Linked DNA regions of Schizosaccharomyces pombe. The protein of the gene in region 1 interacts with the protein of each later gene in a pairwise test. Each region holds a gene or a part of one and is shown on either strand. Other genes may lie near its edges. The genes, in order: ubp1 and tts1.

Evidence for each region.
Region 2: the proteins of ubp1 (region 1) and tts1 interact in a two-hybrid assay, tested with the Schizosaccharomyces pombe proteins (one large-scale study listed by BioGRID).

What each region holds. Positions count from the first base shown.
Region 1 is NC_003421.2:888,598-893,980, forward strand, and holds ubp1 (ubiquitin hydrolase Ubp1), read right to left. Parts: upstream 3,719-5,383; 5' UTR 3,615-3,718; coding exon 3,295-3,614; exon of another isoform or gene 3,237-3,294; intron 3,070-3,236; coding exon 840-3,069; 3' UTR 684-839; downstream 1-683. Other genes in the region: mrpl31 (mitochondrial 54S ribosomal protein mL60), read left to right, coding at 261-608; U1 snRNP-associated protein Luc7, read left to right, coding at 4,123-4,917.
Region 2 is NC_003423.3:4,366,580-4,370,547, reverse strand, and holds tts1 (tetra-spanning protein 1), read right to left. Parts: upstream 2,207-3,968; 5' UTR 2,160-2,206; coding exon 2,100-2,159; intron 2,001-2,099; exon of another isoform or gene 1,914-2,000; coding exon 1,134-1,913; 3' UTR 732-1,133; downstream 1-731. Other genes in the region: COG complex subunit Cog3, read right to left, coding at 36-437, 480-548; arg41 (argininosuccinate lyase), read left to right, coding at 3,781-3,968. UniProt on the Schizosaccharomyces pombe protein: Required for the correct positioning of the cellular division plane by delimiting the actomyosin ring assembly at the cell equator.

The DNA.
Region 1 (5,383 bases):
ATTCTTCAGTTAACCAACTCCACCATTTTGGAGGTGTAGTGTTTATATTTGAATGGCAATATAATATTTAAATCAATTTAGGACGCTAATCAAGTTAATTTTTGTTCACATCTTTGCTGTTTCGTTGGAGCCGTAAACTACTTTGTGACAAACCATCAACTACTCAGAATTTGTCTATCACCCAAAAACTTAACAAAAAATTTTTATTTGCTCTTTTTGATCCAACCTTCTTCCTCTCCTTTTGATTTTATACGAAAAATATGCTGGGTGCATTTAACTCGACTTTGGCTCGCTTTGGCGGTCTTGTTCATAAAGTACCTTGGAGATTATCCCAGCGAAGAAAATATCGTCACCGTCAACGACTTCGTGCCGTCGATGAGGTGGTAGATGTTTTGCGCACGGCGTTGCAAGAGAAAAATCAATCGTGCAAACGAATTGAAAGTTTCGTTGCTAACCATCAGCCTGAATCCCAAATGTCACCAAAGGATAAATACACTATGTTTACCAGGAAGACTCAAGGTGCCGGTCTCCAAGGCTTCCGCAAGGGTGTCCATAAATCACCAAAATGGACCCGTAGTACTAATCGTGTTAATCCCACTGGCTTTTAAAAACGTCTGGTTGCAAAAGTTTACTACTTTTTTTTTCATAATTTTAATGCTCTATGAATAATAAATGTAATGGATTATTTTAATAGCTTATTTTATTACTTTTTTATTGCAAAAACTCCCACCTCTTCCTCGTCTTCGTTCATATTCAATTTCCAGTTTCATACATATTCAAACAAACGACATTAGCCTTTAGTTAGAGTAAAGTTCATATCACCTCTATTATACGTCTCTTTAATTCTTTGCTCTGTAAAACAATACATAAGCAGACGATGTGACAATATCCTCCGGATCTATTTCACAAATAGCTGTATCATCAAACTTAAAGAATGTTTGGCTCGATGCATCTCTTGCATAGGCAGTATAATGACCATTACTCATAAACCCGTGATGATTGTCCACTGCATACAAATCGTAAAGCATCGATTTCTGTGACGATAGCCACTCATGATCTTTTATAAATGGACTCAAAAATTGCTTCAAATTGAGATCAAATACTGGATAAACTACTAAATCCCTTCGTTTACGTCTTCTCCGCAAATCTCCACCGTGGCCGCTGAATCGATTTAAATGAATGACTAGTATTTTTGGCAATCGCCAGATCTCCAGCCGTTTTGTTGCCGGTCGAAATGCCTTACACCCAGGACAATACCAGGAATCCTGTAAATCAAGCTGCTCTGGCTTGGAAAACTCCAGTAAACAATCTTCAAGGGTGATGGACTCCATATGGAACTGAATTTTTTCAAATATCCATTCGCAGTTATAAAATAACTTTTCATATTGTTGATCGTTCCATAGACACATAATTACAGTTTTGTCGTCAATAACGATTTCCTCTTCCTCCACTATTTCAAACCTTTTAACCTCAATTTCCTTTATGCATTCCCATTTCCCGGCCTTACTTTCCATCCGCTTCAGTCCAAGCTGAAGAGTTCCGATTGCTACGTCTATGCCTGCATAAACTCGATACAGTTCGACAATCTCTTTCACTAAATCATTTGTGAGTACATTTCGAGAACGGACGTTGAGTTGTAAAGGAAATCCAAACACATCGTTAGACTGGTATGATCCGGGCATTGCCGGTCGTTTACATCCATGGACGATAGGTATTGTTAATCCGTTTGCAGTACTTCCATAAAGTACAACATGATCCCATTTATGAATTTTTTTAGATATTTTGTCTTTATTTTTCAATACCTTGTACACCTTTCCCCGATAAATGTCACAAGCAGTAAGTTCCCCGCATTCGAGTCCCATCTTTTGAAGCTTTTCCGTAGCTTGAAACTTCATTTGGATTACCGTACTTTCCATGAGAAGCTCCAAATACAATTCCACAGGACTCTGTGTGCCAAATGGCGGGACGTACACTACCTTGTGTCGCCATTTTGCACTAGTAGGAAGTGGAAGAGTAAGATACATGAACGGATCAAACGCAGTTGATTTTTGATAGCATATGGAGCACTCTAAGGTGCTTTTATACATTCCTTGAAACAACTGAACAATTATGGAATCATTTCGTTTTGTATGAATATCCCAACATTGATTTGCAACTCTCTGAACATGTAATGGGTGTTCGTCAAATAAATCTGGCCTTTCAAAGTATGGTTTTATCTGAATTCGATTCAAATCTTCGTGTAACCCGTCTAAGAAAAAGGCGATGAATTCCTGAGAATCTTGCTGACGATATCCAGAAAAATAGGTATTAAACTCGCCAATTATAAATTTGAAAGAACTAGGTGACACCGAGTGCATATCAGCAGTATGATGGATCATCTTCAGTAGACTAGCATAAGACAAGGCAACTTTCCCCATCATTCCCAACGGATTGTTGTAATTAATATCCTTTTCATAAGAATCACTAAGAAAATATTTTGTAAGTTCGTGTGTATGTATCATACATTGAAGGGCAGAATTCATATAGCATGAATTACCCAAATTGTAAAGACCGCAGAGTCCGATTTCTTTATTTATTGTTAAATTTTGCTCTTTGGTTATAGAGTCAGATAACCACTCTCCGTTAGGATGTTGAAACTCGAGCAATAAGCTTCCATCGGCAATATCTATTTCGAAAATAGTCATGCAAACAGCATACTCGGAAAGCAAAGCAATCGCAGGTTGATCATTGAACTCCGACAAACTTACAAACCTAGAAGATAGATTACTTTTGTTTAGATACCATAAACGGAAAGAAGTACCATCAGATATTTGGAAAGCTTCCATCACTTGTTTGTACAAAGACCGAAGGGTATCACTTCGGGAAAAGCTAAACGCATAGGGTTCATCACTATGATATGGTTCATCAATTTGGTATAATGGTGAATAGCTCGTGTTTTCACCGTTTATTGGGTCGAATAAAACGTGCAAAGTAAAGTTTATAGGATAGATATCTACGAATGGCTTTTGCTCAGCAGCCAATCCTACCAAAAGAACTTTTCGCTCTATAGCTAGACCTTCTAATCCAAACCTATATTTGAGTTAGCTAATAACATAATGGGAATTGAAAAGAGGCCTCAAAATCCAAGGGAACCTATATATTTAGGCACCGTGGGAAGTAATGCAAACTACATAAATTAATGAAATATTCAAAACTAAGACACAATGCTTTCAAAACATATATGAATATGAGTTTTGAATTTAATTAATAATGCCTTTTACAAGTACTGTAGAGACCTTTAAAGAAAATTCATACCACTCAACAAGCATATGCCATAGCGAAGCAGAGACAATGCTATAATCAATAGATTCCTCCAAAGAATGTTTAAGCTCGTTTTTTTCATCCAGCAGCCTCCATTGAGTTATAGGACCAGGGTTGTCGCCTTCTCCATATATAAAGTCAACGTATCCTTCGAACCAGTCATAGTCAATTAAAAAGGCAGTTTTTTCTTTTTTCCATTTTTCTTTATCCTCTTTAATTAAATTTATCGAATCTTGGAACGGCAATGAAGCAGGTTGGTCGATCCAAATTTGGGAATATCGAGTGCTTGCGTTTTGAGTAGCAGTTGATGCCATTCTCAAAACATGGTCATTTATTCGTTATATTTTTGTTTCTTCAAGTTCCACTCTTATAAATTGCAAAAAATTGGGGGAATGGAGTTGTTGGTTTAAGTAAACTTGTTGTACCAAATGGTGAAAAAGGATTTATACAGGTGACGCATATTGCTGCCCTCTGTCAAGTTTGAGTTTTCAACAACAATTTGTAAAAGTTGATCTAATCGAAAGAATAAAGTATCAATATATTGCCTCGTCTATATTTAACGATTTAGAAATAGCAACTTTTGAACTTTTCCGGGAAATTTTTTTTTGAATTTTAACCCAACAAGCTACTCAAATTACATCTCAATCAAATTTGAGCGATTGTAAACTTTAATTTTGATTTAATTGTGAATAAAGGAAAAAATTCTTTATACTACTTGTAAAACCTAGTGAAATTTTCTATTCATTTTACAGCGTTTGTCGAAAACCCACAAATAGGACATCAGCAGAGATAAAATTACATTTTGCCGAAAATACACTTATTATGGCCGCTGAACAGAGGAAAATCATAGAACAGTTGATGGGCAGTAATTTGAGTAACTTTACCTCTCGAGGCCTAGTACATTTCACTGATCGCAAAGTTTGCAGAAGCTTTTTATGTGGTATTTGTCCTCATGATATATTTACAAATACTAAAATGGATTTGGGGCCTTGTCCAAAGATCCACAGTGACAAGTTGAAGTCGGATTATGAACGGGCTAGTTATTCACATGACTATGGCTACGAGTGGGATTATCTGGAAGACCTAGAAAGACATGTTGATGACTGTAATAAGCGTATTGATATTGCTGAAGCTCGTAGAGAAAAAACAAAAGAGGAGGAAGAACGGATAGATGAGCTAATGCGAGATATAATACATACCGACCATTCAATTGAAGTTATTATTACAGAAATGGAGGCGCTTGCAAAAAGAAAATTAGTGAATGATGCAGTTAAACATTTTATTGAGCTTAATAGGTTGAAGACATACAGGAAAGAATTATATGATGAAGTGATTTCCATGAATGAAATTCCCAGTCAGGCTAGCACAACGCATCAAAAGCTACAAGTATGTGATATTTGTAGCGCTTATCTTTCAAGATTAGACAACGATCGTCGTTTAGCTGATCACTTCTCAGGAAAAATGCATCTTGGATATGCCATGCTGCGAAATATTGCTAGGGATCTTCGAGCTCAATTAGAGGACCGTGAAAAATCCCGTGATAAAAAGGACGGAGAGAAACAAAGAGATAATTTAGCTTCTTTTGAAGATAAAATCTCAACTTCCTTTGTTGCATAACCTACATTTCGTAATGAAAAAGTGGAGGATCTCAACTAACCGCCTTTATTCGCTTAGTGATGCCTTTTACGCAGACCTATATAGAATCTTATTATTATGTTTACCTTTTTACGTTTATGGTTGTTTCCTTACTTGCTTTTTTACAATATTCTTCATGTCATGCACAAAATAAGTGTACCTCTTATATTTTATATTCGTTTATTTCTAATCTCACAAGGTATATTGATATATGTATTTCAATTTGAATAACAGCTATAAGTATATCCTTAAAATAAAGCAGGAATAAACTCTTTGCCTTAATATTGTCGTACTAACCCAACCATCCTTACTTGTCCTTCAGCAACTGTTTGTTTTGGAGAATCTGAAATCGAAAGGAGTCAAACTATTTTACTAAATTAACTTTTTATTTTATTTTGTATAGATATCCTTGAAAATTCTGTGATTCGAAAGTCCAGTGGCAATGTAG
Region 2 (3,968 bases), on another chromosome or scaffold:
GTAATGATAAGTGGTATGCAGCACGCTCCTAATACCTCATCTGTACTAAGGTTCTCACACATTTCAGAGAATTCACTCAGCTTTTTTTCAGAACTTTCAAACTTTTCTTTCATTGATAACAATGTTGACTCAATGTTATTAGTCTGACCCAATATCTGATCAATAATGTTTGTAAACGTTTGAAGTTCATTAATTTTTTTTTCCGCGTCTTGCTCAATAGAGAAAGTAGGTCTAGAAATTATCCATATGGGGTTCATCTTTTCTTCAAATGGAAATAACGACTGCTTTTCTACGGTTGAATTATTGGGATTAGGCAGAGAAAACGGACGTGCCGGTAAGCTTGAAGAATCATTTAAAATTTCCGTTAAAGAGTCGCGTCTTTCCTTAGAAATGGAATGCACTGTTTCGATATTTTCAAGTTTGGCGACTTCGGGTAGCTAATTGGGTAAGCCCTTGTAAAAACATTTATCTAAGCTTACTTTTATATCATTTTGAGTTTCATTATCCTCATAGTTGACAGCAGGATAAAACTCCAACTGATCAAACATCGTTCAAAATAATTACGATAATCAGAAAAACATCGAGCACTTTGTTGGTGTTTCCCAGTGAACCATAACACAGCGCTACGTTACTTTGCGCAGATGCTAAGAAACAAAACGCATTAACATCACATAAATTCAATTGAAACTGGTATTTTATCCAATGTAAACTAATAACTTGCTAGATTTCAAGAGTGCGCTGCTATACATGTGTTTATTGTGCTACAAAATTCAATAAAACGTATTATTTTTACCTCTTAATCTTTTAATACTCAAAGAGTTTTTGGATAAACAACATATATCCATATTTCAATTTCCTTGAAAAAAGCTAAACTAAAGTCTGAGGAGACCCCCCAAACAAAGATAACTGAAATAGAGGAGTAGTGAGCAAAAATAAATAAACGGAATTATCTCAAACAAGTTTTTAGAGAAAGAGGTAAACGGTATGAACATTCAAAATTTACTTGGGTGAAATAGAAACTACTCGTTAATAGTAAAGAACTCAAAAACCAGGAGCACTTAGACATATTAAAATCACACTGATTGGTGAAATTTATATAAATCTCTAGCAATCAAAAGGAATAAGGCATCACTTTAAGTAGATGAGGGAGCAGTGGTAGAGCTTGATGCAGTGGGACGGCTTTGAGCAGTACCTACAGGTGAAGCACCGAACTTGGACACATAAGTTTTGAATGTATGCCAAGCATTTTTGATAACAGGAGGAACTCTGTTATCTGCAACCAAACGATCCATTCGAAGGCTAACGGCTTTAATGGATGCACGAGTAAAGTGACTATTAGTGTATCTCATGCGAAGAAAGAAAATATAGCCCACCAACCTGGAAATTGAGTTTTTACGTAAGAAAACCCCAAAGAACAAACGGAACAATAAAAATGTTTCGAGAGAAGCAACAAGTTGCATAGCAGGTTGAAATTGGCTTCGAGTGTACTGATTTAGCAAATTAGAAACACGAGAAGCATAAGACGCAGTTTTCGCGTCAGAAATATTAGGGTAAATGGCAGGCAAAAGCACACTACGCAAGTAAGTGGAGATGTGGAAAGTGGCGTAAATGGCATATGGAGCGAGAGAAAATAGGATGGGACGATCAATCAACATTGAAAGAGCTAAAATAAAATACTGAACATTGTCATCGAGCATAAGACGGGCAAAGAAATGCTTATTCCAAGAAGCACGGGAAGTCAAGTTTGGACTATAAGTTTTGTAAAGGACAATTGCATATGCAACGATGGCACCAAAGGCAGCGCTTTTAAACAAAAATGGAGGAGCGGAACGAAAAGGGATTGCTTGAAGAGCATACAAGACGGAAGAGATTAGCACTATTACTTGCCCCGAAAACCAAACAAACTGGGTGTTCTATAATAAACGGTTAGTAATGTATTAAAAGAGTGAAGACAATATGACACTGAATCAAAATAAAATAATGCTGACAAATTAGTCTATGTTTTAGTAATAGATTACAGTTACGTTATGGAACTAAATAAGAAACTTTTCTTATAATCAACATTTATTATCTGATTTACACATGATAGATATATTTACCTTGACAACAGGTAAAACCCTTTCTTTTAAAGGCTTGACAACTCGTTGTTTTGGCTCCATTATAGCAAAGTTGTTATTTTCAAAGTTTTAAAGATGTGGCTTTTGTTAAGTTAATATCCAGCAAAAAGTATGTTGTAATAGTTGTGATAGAGTACAATGTACGCTTACCAATGGAAGATCCTAAATTTTCCTACATCAGAAAAAGAAAACCTATGGAACTTCTGTGAAATACGCTAGTACACGTTTTGACTAGAATTCTTTTAGCAGGAATATAAGCGCTTAAAAAAGGATTTACGCCTTTGAGTAGCATTCAAGCTATTACAATTAAATAGATTTAAATAGGGGCTACACTCTTTAGTTTTCTAAAATCCAATTGTTTAAGTCTAGCAGACACTCCAGAAAGCTAACATAATTCATTTACGACCCTTGATAACAATGTACAAGAAGCTCTGACTAAAATTTTTCAAAGTGAAATGCTAAAGTACGATGTTGTTTGTTACGCTATCTGTTCTATGTTTTACATGGAAACAATAAATGGATTAATTCTTGCACATTTACTAGTGGACAATAAATGGTTCAGATTCAACATTACTATATCACACTTGTATTGCTCGGCAACCTTCAATAACTTCTATTTAAAAATAACTAGCAAGATCTAAACTGGCTCTAGAGTATTCTCGAAGATAACACTTTGTGGATTCCGTTTTGAGTCCAGACGTTCTGTTAACAACATATCCATACGTAAATTGTTAAGTTATTTGTTGGCGAAGACGAGTACTATAAACGAATTTTGAGAAGCTTGGTATAAGTAAATGTTAGACTGTCGAAGTAATACGCCCTATATGTGTTCATGCCAAAAGAAATCAATAATATAGTTGACAATTTGAAATGCAGTGTATAATTTAAGGCAGTAAGAGACGAAAGTAAAGAGGGAAAAGGAAAATCATGTACTGTTATCACTTTATTCTTCGTTGATTTTCTTCTTCTTTATAATCCCACTATATTTGGTGGATTCATAAACTCGGTTGGTCCATGTTTATTTTAATTGATTTTCGTTAGCTATCTTAAAAGAAATTGGGCGGAAGATGCATCATAATGTTTAAACCAGTTTAGTCTGATCAGACACTAGTAAAAACGAGAAAACAATACTTATCTACCAATGAGTTTTCAGGCATCTATAAATATCGTTCTAATAAAAATCGAAAAAACAATCACAACTAACAAGAAAATCTTTTAAGAATTCTCAATCTTTATAACAGTCAATTTTCTTAAATCTAAGCTAATGCTCGCGAAATTCTTTGGTAGCTCTGAGTTAATAAATCAGAAAGACAAAACAAATCATTCAGGTTGAGTACATTTATACAGTAAGATTCCAACCAAAGCTTCCATATATGATATCTTTTGTAAACTTAAGGAAAGAAATAACGAAGCGGAATGTAAACATTTATTAAGTGTTTATACGTTCCAATACGTTAGATCTTATTATAGCGATTATAATATCAATTTCATATCTATCGCCGTATCGTTAATGTGATATAACAATAGGTTGCGATAAGGAAGAGGTTACACGGTCATATAGCCATACTCTCAAAAGATTAGATAAATTAAATTTTAAGTAGTACTACCTCCTTTTTGCGTTGGTTGAAAACTTGAAAAACTGACTCTGTTTTAACAATTCTGAATGGCTTCTTCACAAAAACTTTGGGGCGGTAGATTTACTGGCGCCACTGATCCCTTGATGACAGCTTATAATGAGTCTATTCATTATGACAAGCGCATGTTCAATGCCGACATTGATGGCTCGAAAGCTTATGCTAAGGCATTAGAACAACGCGGAATCATTAGTGCTGATGAATTGGATAAAATGTT